3 linked regions of the Coturnix japonica genome follow. The protein of the gene in region 3 interacts with the protein of the main gene of each other region in a biochemical or structural test. Links are inferred from orthologs where the notes say so. Each region holds a gene or a part of one and is shown on either strand. Other genes may lie near its edges. The genes, in order: LHX3, UBE2K and RLIM.

The links.
Region 1: the proteins of RLIM (region 3) and LHX3 form a complex in vitro, tested with the Homo sapiens proteins (2 studies listed by BioGRID). The link is inferred for Coturnix japonica from reciprocal best matches to the Homo sapiens genes RLIM and LHX3.
Region 2: the proteins of RLIM (region 3) and UBE2K form a complex in vitro, tested with the Homo sapiens proteins (2 studies listed by BioGRID). The link is inferred for Coturnix japonica from reciprocal best matches to the Homo sapiens genes RLIM and UBE2K.

The regions. Positions count from the first base shown.
Region 1 is NC_029532.1:6,534,595-6,537,712, reverse strand, and holds the end of LHX3 (LIM/homeobox protein Lhx3), read right to left. Parts: intron 2,990-3,118; coding exon 2,838-2,989; intron 2,751-2,837; coding exon 2,579-2,750; intron 991-2,578; coding exon 572-990; 3' UTR 550-571; downstream 1-549. UniProt on the Homo sapiens protein: Transcription factor.
Region 2 is NC_029519.1:62,495,163-62,499,374, reverse strand, and holds the start of UBE2K (ubiquitin-conjugating enzyme E2 K), read left to right. Parts: upstream 1-1,391; 5' UTR 1,392-1,398; coding exon 1,399-1,551; intron 1,552-4,212. UniProt on the Homo sapiens protein: Accepts ubiquitin from the E1 complex and catalyzes its covalent attachment to other proteins. In vitro, in the presence or in the absence of BRCA1-BARD1 E3 ubiquitin-protein ligase complex, catalyzes the synthesis of 'Lys-48'-linked polyubiquitin chains.
Region 3 is NC_029519.1:11,724,753-11,728,867, forward strand, and holds the start of RLIM (E3 ubiquitin-protein ligase RLIM), read right to left. Parts: upstream 2,883-4,115; 5' UTR 2,720-2,882; intron 1-2,719. UniProt on the Homo sapiens protein: E3 ubiquitin-protein ligase.

The sequences.
Region 1 (3,118 bases), on a different chromosome or scaffold from region 3:
TTGATGGTGTGTGATTGGCATATGAAAGAGCATCTTGTTTTAGAGAAGCGGAGGTGAATTGAAAAGAAAGCAGAACAAACCGCTTCAAAAAATCCGCTGGAAGAACAGAGATGTTTGCTACCATGGGGTGCTGAAGTGATTCGCTATTAACATTTCCCCTATAGAAATATAGATATGGTCACACCTTTCATCTCGGATGAGGACTTTATTTTCTCTTCAGAAGGTTTTCAGTGTGGGTGGGTGGTGAAAGAAGTCCTCGCTTTGGAGGATGCAATGACAGCAGAAAGCAAAACACCTGTAAAGCACAACTCTCGGTGTTCAGTAAGGACACCATCACCAGGTTCGTGGGATGCTCCTCATGCTCACCTCTGTGCCACGTCTCCCTTTGCCCACTGTCCACTGCAGATCCACCAGCAGCTCGCCCTCTGCAAGCATATCCACGCTCTGCAGGGCAGCCATGCCATCCTGCCCGCGCAGCACTCAGCACGTCCCTCCTTTTTTCCCCATGGGCAGATGACATTTGCCAGCGATGAGTCCTTTCCCTTCCCACTGCACAGTGGTGGATCCTCTATCAAAACTGAGCATGGTCGACTTCATCCAGCCAGGACGCTGGGCTGGCAGGGAAATCCGGGTATCCCCCACTGCTGCCGGTGGAGAGGTCAGAGCTGGGCCCATTCCCAGCCAGGACCCTCATGGACTGGGGCACCCCCTGTCCGCCTTGTCCCATGATGCCCAAACCACTGTCGGGGTAAACCAAGCTGGAGATTAAAGGCTGGTGGCCTGGCAGTGCTTGCAATGAAGCCGGTGACTGGGGAATCCCATAGGGGCTGTTGGATCGTAGGTCGTGGTACTGGTCCTGAGCTGGGATGCCGCTGTGATCCAGAGTGAAGCCCCCGTTGGTCCCAGTCTGCCTCCCCAGGGCTGGGGATGCCTCACTGAGATTGCTGTAAATCCCATTGGAGTGGCTCATCTCGGACATGGAAGGCTCATCTGAAAGGAAAACAAACTGGTTTTACTGGGAGAGTGATGGCCACGGCCGGCAGTGCACACAGGAGCTCCTGTGAGCCCTGAGTACACACAAATGAGATGGATGGGAATTGAGCAGCCGTGCACTTCCTAGTTGTAATTCCTTATTATTCCCTATTATTCCTACCCTTATTGATGAGTCTCCAAAGAAAGACAAGGGATTATTTTTTCTGAGTACAAATGTCTAATACATTTGGGGTCTAAAAAACAGGCACAAAAAGCACACATTCAAATATAGGACTGAGGTTTTAAAGTAATCCTTTAAAGAGGAACATGAGTTCAAGATCTTTCCATCCTTTTGGTCTCTCCTTTATATTTGGCTTTGGGGTTTATTTTGAATTTCGGTCTCATTTTTAGGATCTACCTGAGCATTTGATACAAGGAAAAACTGTGCATTGCTCAGAAGAAAATGAATTAGATCTCAGCAGTGTTTGTTTCCTCAGGATCGGGATGATGAGGAGGAGAAAGGCTTAAAAACACTTCTGAAATATGAAAGTATTTTGTAAATCACCAGCAAAAAAATTGTTTGCTTTCGTTTGGGGCTTTATGGGCAGCGAGAGCCGTTCCGTTGCCTTGGATACAAATCTGCTTTGGCACCGAGCTATCAATAATTGTTCGACAATTTTTAGTTATTATTTATGGTACATTCATATTTAATGACACCGAGGCGCAGCGTGTGTGCACAGGCTGGAAAATCAAACAGGTTTTAGGAACACGGCAGAGAGCAGAAACACAAAGCTGTGTGCCCATAAACATCCGTGCATTGCGGGCGGATGTCTTTGTCAGTAGTGTTGTATTTCAGCTTCTCTCCCGTATCTCTACAAACGAAGTCTACGCACACAAGTCTGAGCCCCGCGGGGATGCGGTGCAGGTGCTGTCAGTGCGGGTTGTTTAGCGCTGCCGCCCCCGTGCACCCACCCCAGCTCAGGGCTGCGGCCCGGCAGTGAGCGGCCGCGGGGCTGAGGAGCACAAAGCTGAGAGCTCCGGGGGTTATCTGCAGAGATGACTGCCCCAAAAACGGGACCCTGTAATGCAGAAATCTCCCAAAACGAAGCAGTTCCTTTTTTTACAGCAGGGAGGAAACAGCTCCCACAAGACTGGGAAGTAACTAACAAGAACTACGCAAATCAAACGATTCTAAATAGGATAATACAACAACAACAGCCAAACTAAGAGGAACCTATGAGCTTTTCCTCGTAGTTCAGTAATTTTGAACTCCGAGTTTTGCATTGTCCCTTGAGAAGAGACATTGAGAAGACTGCATGCAGGGGCCGCTCCAACAGCCCAGCGCTGCCCATGGAGCTCTCCCTGCTCCGTCTGGGATCTGTCACAGGATTTCCCCGTGCCATTTCTCAGCTCACGGCTGTTCCCGGCGCAGCGGCTCTGGCTGTGCCAGGGCGGTCCCTCCACTCCGCCTTCCTCTTATCGCACTTATTTTCCCTTATTATATTACAGCTAAAAATAATTAATGTGACCCCGAAGGGGTGAATCGAGCCCTGCCAGGGCCGCAGCTCAGCCGGCAGCCCTCGGCGCAGCCCCGTCGGGCACCGACCTGTGAAGGAGACCTCAGCGTCGCTGTCGGGCCCCTCCTCCTGGATGCTGTCCTTGTCGGACTTGGAGGTCCCCCGGGACCGCTTCATGTTCCTGAAGTACTGCCCCCAGCGCTGCCTCCCCGCGTCCTTCTTCAGCCGCTTCTCCTTGGCCCGGCGGTTCTGGAACCAGACCTGCAAGCAGAGCACGGGGCAGCTCGCTGTGAGCGGGGCCGACCCGATCCCAGCCGCCTCCCGGGGGTGGGAGCCGCGCGGTCTCACCTGCACCACTCGCATATCCAACCCCGTCTCCGACGAGAGCTGCTCCCGGACGTGCCGTGCCGGCTTGGGCGAGTTGTTGTAGGCGTTTTTGAGGGTCTCCAGCTGCTTGGCCGTGATGGTGGTGCGGGGCCTCTTGGCCGTGGACTCGGCCTCTGCCGGCACGGTGCGGGTTAGCTCGGAGCTCCCCGCGGGGACCCGGGACCCCCGCCCTCCCTCCTGCCCAACCCTATGCACGTGCGGAGCCCCGAGGGCAGAGCGGCCCGGAGCCGCCTCTCTCTTCC
Region 2 (4,212 bases), about 51 Mb from region 3:
CTTTAATTATTCTTCATTTGGTGCTTTGAGCTTCACCTTAGCATGGAGAGCAGCCCCTGTTTCTCTGCAGGTGCAGAGTAGGAGAGCAGGTGCCTGGGGAGGAGTTGGGCACATTTGGGAAGAACACAAGAGGGAGTTTGCTCTCATCTTCAAGTTCTCATCTTGGTACTGAAATAGGTGGGAGAACCAGAAACATTTAAAAGGGAGAAGCTGGATGGTATTTGACTTCTGTGCTTGGAAGCACCAAATTTCACTTTAAATATTGGTGAAGAGGTAATTCTGTGAAGTGTGCTATTCTTCCTGTAGATAAAGTTTAATACTGATATGCCTAAGTATCCTTAGTGCTTTCTGTTTCTGTGACATTGAATAGTATTTCTGGGAAATCACTACAACAGCCTTCAGCCTTGCCTTGCTTTCTGGTTTGCAGGTAGGAGCTGAGGGATTTGTGATGTAGGAGGGGAGGGGCTGACAAGGCTTTTAAAATCTTCTCACACTTCAATATTTTTTGCTTCTTTTTTTTTTTGGTAGCATTTCTGTCTTTTTTAATTGTTTTAATAAGGCCTTGCACGTTGATTTAAGGAATGGGGCGTTGTAGAGATCTTTGCAGCTTTGCACCTTTTGAGTTTATAAATGAGGTACGTGAGACTGACAACAGTTTCCCCATTGAGAGACAGAGGAATTGTCTTCAGAGTAGGAGGAGAGTTGAAATGTTCAGGTTGCTGATGTCCTGCGTATTCAACAAAAGTGAAGCTGCTCATGTAGGTAATAACCTGACTAGTGTAATATAGGTTGGAGGGTACCGTCTTGTTCCTCTATGAAAACTTAAAGTAGTAAACAGTGATTAACTCATGCACTGTTTTGAATCATAGTCTAGGCAAGTTGCACTCTTTCTTTCTTCTGTCATTTCATTAATTTATCTTGTTAGTTTCATGGGTTAGGCTAAATTAAATTCCAAAGTAGCAAAACATGTTCTGAATGAAAGTGTGAAGCTGCAGCTTGATGGAGAAACTAACAATTGGTGGAGGGGGAATAACAGCCCAGTATCTTTCGCTTTGATGGCTGGGAAGAGGCTTTGGTGAAGGTTAGCTGATATTATTCCAGAACAGGGTTATTGGAGTGCTAGCCAGATTCTTACCATCTCTGTCTGTAAGCAGCTGTCTTATGAGGGGAAGGATCTGGTATTTAACAACGAGCGCTGAAAAACATTGTGTTCATTCATGGGCTGGTGCTGACAAGTGGTTTAGTTCATCAGGCACGTCAATGTGTAAATCTTTTTTCTTATTTTACTATAGTATCACATGTGCTTTAAGGAATGGTATTGTGCTGGCAGTGGAGTTGACCATCCAATATCTTCATCATGCAGGAATGTAAGGAGATTTCTGGCCGTCTCTCTGTGAAATGCTGTTAGGAGTGAAATTGCTTCTCTGTGGCATTGAGGATAACACTTCGGTAAACATGGCTTCCTTCTGGCAAGAAAAAAGTTGGTGGTTTTTCTACCACAGAATGTTCCTCTTCCCTGTATCAAAAGGCAGAGGTTTATCTGCATGGAAGGTAAACACAGATAGAGCTACAAATAAATTAAACTCGACTGTAGTTGCAGAATAGGAGTATCTGCAAGAGCAGATATGTGCAGTAGCAGTTAAAATTTGTAACGTGAGTCCCAAACAGTTTTCAAGTGGAAACAGTATGTTGATGGCAAAAATTGAGTTGCATCATTTCCAAGAAGGAAGTCGATATTTGTTCTGGAGTCTGCTATGTGATTTTGTGTTGTAAAAGAGAAGGGAAGAGTAACAATCGCGTGCCATACTGTGTTCCTCCCTAGACTTGCAGTGAGTAGCTGTGCTGTTTGTTTGCTGCTGGTGGTGTTGGGATGCTTGGCAGTTTGTAAGCTGCTAAGTGACATCTTGGTAACTGGAGAGCGGTGAACTGAGGTTCAGAAGAACTTTACTGTATTTGATTTGCTTATCACAGAATCACACAGAATCACAGAATGACCCGGGTTGGAAGGGACCTCAAGGATCATGTAGTTCCAAACCCCCCTGCCTGGCAGGGCCACCAAACATACACCTTTACTAGATCAGGTTGCCCAGGGCCCCGTCCAACCTGGTCTTGAACACCTCCAAGGACGGGGCATCCACAACCTCCCTGGGCAGCCTGTCCAGGGCCTAACCACTCTCCTAATGAAGAACTTCCCCCTAACATCCAACCTAAATCTTCCCTCTTTTAACTTTAAAACCATTACCCCTAGTCCTGCTATATCAGCCCTTTCGAAGAGTTTACTCCCCTCCTGGGAGTAAGTTCCCTTCAGGTACTGAAAGGCTGCAATGAGGTCACCCCGCAACCTTCTCTTCTCCAGGCTGAACAAACCCAACTCCCTCAGCCTGTCCTCATAGGGGAGGTGCTCCAGCCCCCTGATCATCTTCATCTTATACTTGAGCAGTCTTGGGTACTAGAAACTGAATTCACTAAAATGGAAGCTTTTACTAGTAATTGTGCTTCGGTGTCATTAGAAAGGCCTGATGGATACTGTGGATGTGTGGTGGTTTTTTTCTTACCATTTATTATGTAGGAGCAATGCAGATGTATAAAGATGAAATGTCTTCTATTATGACTCCTGAGTCAGCAACGTAATATTTAAACAATGCCAACTTTCTGCTCAGGCAGATATTTAAGTCTTGATTCATGAGAATTGGTCTATTGAGGTCAAGTGTAGGTTTAGTAAGTGCGGAGTGTGAGTGGAGCTAGAGTGGGCCTAGTTAATTAAAAAGAAGCGTAAAAATGAGAACTTCTACAATGAAGTTGTCGTGTTGGTACAAATCTTTGGTGTGCCTCTCAGAAACCTTGCATATGGCCTCAGACTTGGGGGGGAGGGAGGCAGCAGTGTGTCAAGTACAGGCTGCTTTGCAGAGGGCTGTGTGGAGACTGGAGAAATTAATGAACTGACAGGAGCTTTGTGAAGTTAACTGTTAAGTGCCAAGTCCTGAATCTGAGAAGTAACACTGTACATCAATACGTGTATGCTCTGGGGACTGACTGGAGACAAAGCAAGTTGGCAGAAAAAGACCTGTGGCAAAGAGGGCCAACTGCACACTGGGTTGTTTTTAGCATGAATGCAGAGAGGGGTGAGGAAGTGGTTCTTCACTTTCCCATGCACTTCTGAGACCATATCTGGAGTGCTGTGCCCTGTTCTGGGAAATCCATTAATACACCAAAGTGAGTCCAGTAGAATGCCATAAGGGAGATTAAGGGACGGGACTATGTGATGTGAGAGAGGGGCAGAAAGGTGGCCACTTAAACCCACCACAGGTACTTGACTCCAGAGGAGAATCAAACATTTCGGTGGCGCACAGGGGTAGGATGAGAAACAACAGGTAAAAGCTGGAACATGATAAATTATGACTGGAACCTGGGGAAAAAAAATGGCGTTACAGTTGTCTCATTGAACTGATTGAATGGAGAGACTGTGGATTCCCCATCCTTGATGATATTCAGAAACTCAGTGAGACAAGTTCTTGAGCAGCCTACTTTTGTTGGACCTGCTTTGAGCTGGAGGTAGGACTAGATGCCCACCAAATGTCTCTTCCTGCATCGTTTTTTTTGTCTCTAGTATAAGGTTCTTTTAAATTAGTGCTGTGGTTGTGTTTTCTTTTTTGTGAAAGAAAATGCCAGGGTCCCCACAACACCCTTCTCTCCAAATTGAAAGTGTATGGATTTGATGGGTTGACTGCTCAATGGATGAGGAACTGGTTGCAAGTTTGTACCCAGGGAGTGGTGGTCAGTGGCACAGTGTCTGGATAAGGATCAGTGACTAGTGATGCCCCTCAGGGCTCAGTGCTGTTTAGTGTTTTCATTGGTGACATCAACAGTGGGATCAAGTACCCCTCAATAAGTTTAAACTAATATGAGTTAATACATTTTTTATGGTAAGGGTAGCGGAGCACTACCAGGTTGCCCAGAGAGGTGGTTGATGCCTTGACCCCGAAGTCATCCAGAGTCTGGATGGGGTTCTGAGCAACCTGACTGAGCTGTAGGCACCTCTGTTTGTTGCAGGGGAGTTGTTCTGGGTGACCATTAAGAATTCTTTCCAACTCAAAATGGTCTATGACTGTATTACTGTCTCCAGACCTGATAAAATATTTTCTCTGTGAACAAATCAGAGGTTTTGAAGTAGCATTTTTCTCTTTATCTGGGAAGTTTCTGCTGTTGTAAGAT
Region 3 (4,115 bases):
ATGAAGGAATGAGACACTTGGCTTCTCACTGTGTAAGTGCCCACTGTCCCCGCTTCAAATAGATCTAGAACACATAGCAATTCATTACAGGTTTCTATTGTTACCTTCCATACAGAAGGGTGGAGCTTTGCAATTTCAGAACACTGATCTCATGGGAATGAAGGCGAAGCTCTGAATATAAGACAAGGATTGTCAAAATCAGGTACTTCCCATTTTATAACCTAGACTTATTAGAACAGCATTTTTCACACGCACACACACACAAAAATCAAAATAAAATTAATATAGTATTGCTTCTGTGCTCAGACAGAGGTGATATCACCTCAGAGAAAGCTAAGCACACTCACGTTACTGACTTTCCAGTAGTGGAAGAAGTCTCATGGAACTTCTCTTTCCCTGAGTAGCGATATTCCATATTCCTGCTAGATCAGCGGGCAGGAGAGCGAGGCTGGAGCTCCAGGGAAGTAATACTCTGCATGAAAGTAACTGGTGCTGACGCTGAAAGACAGCAGTGTAAACAGGACTGACAGCTAAGGAAGTTGTACCCACAGAACTGATGCCCATCACACAGTGTTTTGATTTCTGAGGAAAGAGAACTTCTGTTTACTGAAAGCACAAAGCCAATGATCATCCACTGGAAAAGCCAGCTCTACATTTACTCTCACCTTCTCACAGAACTGCTAATACAGCTTCTACTAAAAGGCCAAAACAACAATGACAGATTCACTACAAATACAACCCACATAGGAAACCCAGTGCACGCAGTTGTTGCTGTTCTTGTCAAGCACTCGAGGAACTTAGAACACCAAAGTAACTTGTTAAAACTTCACTAAACTGGACTCAAATACAATCTATGGGCTGAAGTAAATGTCATTAAATTATGGCTGTAAAAAGTACAAAAGTACAATACTCCTACTGCAACTATAAGAATTCTACCAAGATGAAGAAACTTACTTTGAAACAATTCCATAGGGATGGGGAACACAGAAATAAAGGAGCCAAGTACATTAATACATGAGTGTTTTTAAAAACACTTCCATTTAAGGATCACATTACTCTAAAAATACTGATACAGGAAAAAAAAAAGAGACATGTAATGAAGACCAGAAACTTGCAACACTGCTTTCCAGTACACCTTGGTATGTTCATGGACTCAGTAATATGGAAAATAAATTTGATACTGCTGGCAACGACTACGAGCTTGAAAAAATGCTTGTGGTTTCTCACTGACAAAACATTGATGTAGCCAGAATTGCTGATGAGCAGTATATTGTAACTGTTACACTTAGTGGTCCAACGTAACCAACATCTCTTAATCCTATGATGCGCGTTGTGCTGCCCCTTGTTAGCAGCAGAAGTGACAAGACTGCAAACTGTAATTAGTTTCATTCTCAAATGGTAAACTTGGAGAGGGAATGCAGTCTTTTTTAAATGGTAGTTGGTCATTCCAGCAAAACCAAGCATTAAACTCTCAGTTTTGATGATTAACTGTCTAAGGGGCAGCCAAACACGCTTTTTTTCCCCCCCTAAAAACACTTGTCAAGTCACTGCAATTAACATTATGGAACAGAGTAGTGCTGGAACTTCTCTATTGTTTTCATGACAACTTACAGCTTGAAAACAACAAGTACTGTCAACACAGACAGGAGAAATATATCATACATGCAACTGCCCTACTGTATACAGTCCCAACTGAACCCTTGTTTACAGGCTCCTCACAACTATCACCTCAAAAAAAGAAAACAGAAACACAAACAAGAACATTCAATTTAAAAAGTGTATTTGTGCTGTGAAATCTTGTGTCCGACTCCTATTACACACTAAAATCAAAACAAATAATGAACCTCAAAACGTCCGTATTCTACAACTTGGTATTGCTCCTCCATTAAGGCTGACAATGGAAAATAAAGTGATGTATATATAGCATAACACTTGACAACAGTTTTGAAATACAGTAAACAGAAACTCCAAATGTCTGTAGACAGCATTAAAAAAGGAAGGAAAAATGTGTACAGGAAGCAAGGTAACAGAATAAATATTACATGACTAAGTGAAGAGAAGCGGATAAGACACCAACAGCAATCACAACAGCTTTTAACAGGTCACACAAAGATCACGACCCTCCCAAAAGGCACAACGGGATCAAGAATCACTTCTGTTCACCTCCAACAGGGCTCCTGCCTTAACGCAAGGAATTTAACCTGCAAACACAGACCTGAAGAGCCGAGAATCTTCAAGCAGGCCCTAAGCAGCACAAGGCCCGGGGCAGTGGCCGTGATACTCCACCTCACCCAAAAAGAACCTTTTCCAACCCTGACCCCCCCCTCCCTCCGCCCACTCAACTGTCCGGCGGTGGTGGAGCCCCAATGACCGTCCTCTATCACGCACCACAAGCGAAGGCGGAGAAATCCCCAGTGCTTTGGGGCCCTGTTGATCCGGAGCAGCAGGGCACAGCCTCAGGCACAGCGCCATCACGGCCCCCGGCTCCAGCACGGACCCGCTCCACCTCAAACGGCTGCGGCCCGCCGAGCCTCGTTGGAACCCGAGACCGTCCTGCCCGGTTGAGCCCGCTGAGCAGATCCACACCGCGGGGCTCAGGAGCCCGAGTCCCCCTGGCCGCCCCCATCTCCGGGCGGAGGCCGCCGCCGCCTCCCCTGGGCCTGGGCCTCTCCCTTCCCAGTGCCATCTTGAACGTCCGCGTCCAGGCCTTCGCACTCACCGCCCGCCGCCGTCTCCTCAGCTGTCACTCCGCCGCTCTCTCCGGTCCTCAGCGGGCTCGGTGCCGGCTCGCCGCGCTCCGTCCGTCCCTAAGCAGCCGCAGCGTCTCTCTGCCTTCCCTCTCAGGCGGCCATTTTCTGCTCCATTGTTACCAAGGAACGGGGGCCCGGAAGCGGCAGCCGACAGCGGAAGTAAAGGAACGGGCCTGTGCGCACGCGCAGACGGAGCCTCCGGGGCGGGGGTGGGGGACGCGCACCAACGAGAGGAGAGTGGAGCACCGCCGAGATGGGTAGAGCGGCTCCAGCGCTGTGCAGAGGGGAGGGGCGCCGCCATTTTGAAGAGGGGCAAAGGCGGAGGGGATGGGGCTGATGGTGTGTGTGGGGGTGAAGGGGGGCTGGACCACCTCTCTGTTTGCAGCCCCCAGGGCTCAGCATAGCCCCCGAGTGATGCTGTTGGCGTGAAGGAGTGGTATGGCCCGTGTGTGTACCAAGAGCCACGGGGGCCATTTCGTGTTACCTCAAGGTACTCACCTGGGTCGTGGTGAGTGAAGGTGTCAGCAAAGAGACTGGAAATGGCCAGTGTTTCCCAGCTCGTAAGGGAAAAATGGTCAGCAAGGCTGTTGTTGACAACATTCACCCTCCTTGCCTTGCTAGCAGGATTTCCTTCTCATGCTGGCTTACACTACAGTGTTGTGTGCTGAAGATGAGTCATGCTGCAGAAAAGCCAGATGTTCCTATTTGACAGTGTAAGCTTAAATTAAGCGTTACACGTCCACAGTTCTGTAAGCCTGCTTGTAGGTTAAATGTCACTGTAGTTCTGCGCTCAATAAAACTCTACTTATGTTACCTGTAGGGTCAGTGCGTCTCCTTTGTGGCAGGTTGGTAGAGGAGCAGGATCAGGAATCAATCAGGGCAGAGAGAAAAACACAAACAAACTGACTGAAAAGATAGAGAGGTAGGAGAGAGAAAACCACAAGCTTGGTTTTGAACCCAAGGGGGATGGGATGCTGAGTACTGGCTTAAGGAGAAGAAAAAGTTAAAGCTTTGCAGAGGATGTAAGGGATTCCCACAGAAGCTGGAAAAGATCCCACATTACTGTCTCAGAAATACCTATTGAAAATGACATTAGAAAAAGCGAAGTTCCTTGGAAGTCATCTTTGTTTTTTTCCCCCTTGGGATATAACAACTCAAAGGCAGCTATAGTGTTTGAGCAGGAACAAATTGAGTGGTCAGTTGCAGGTTTTGTTTCTTATCAGTTTTATTTCCTACAGGATGGGACCATGAAATGAAACTGACTGGAAACTCAATAGAACTAAGGCCACGATGCCAAAATGATTACTAAAGGAGCAATCCCAGTTCCATCTGGATTAGATGTACACCCCCAACTATGTATTTTCT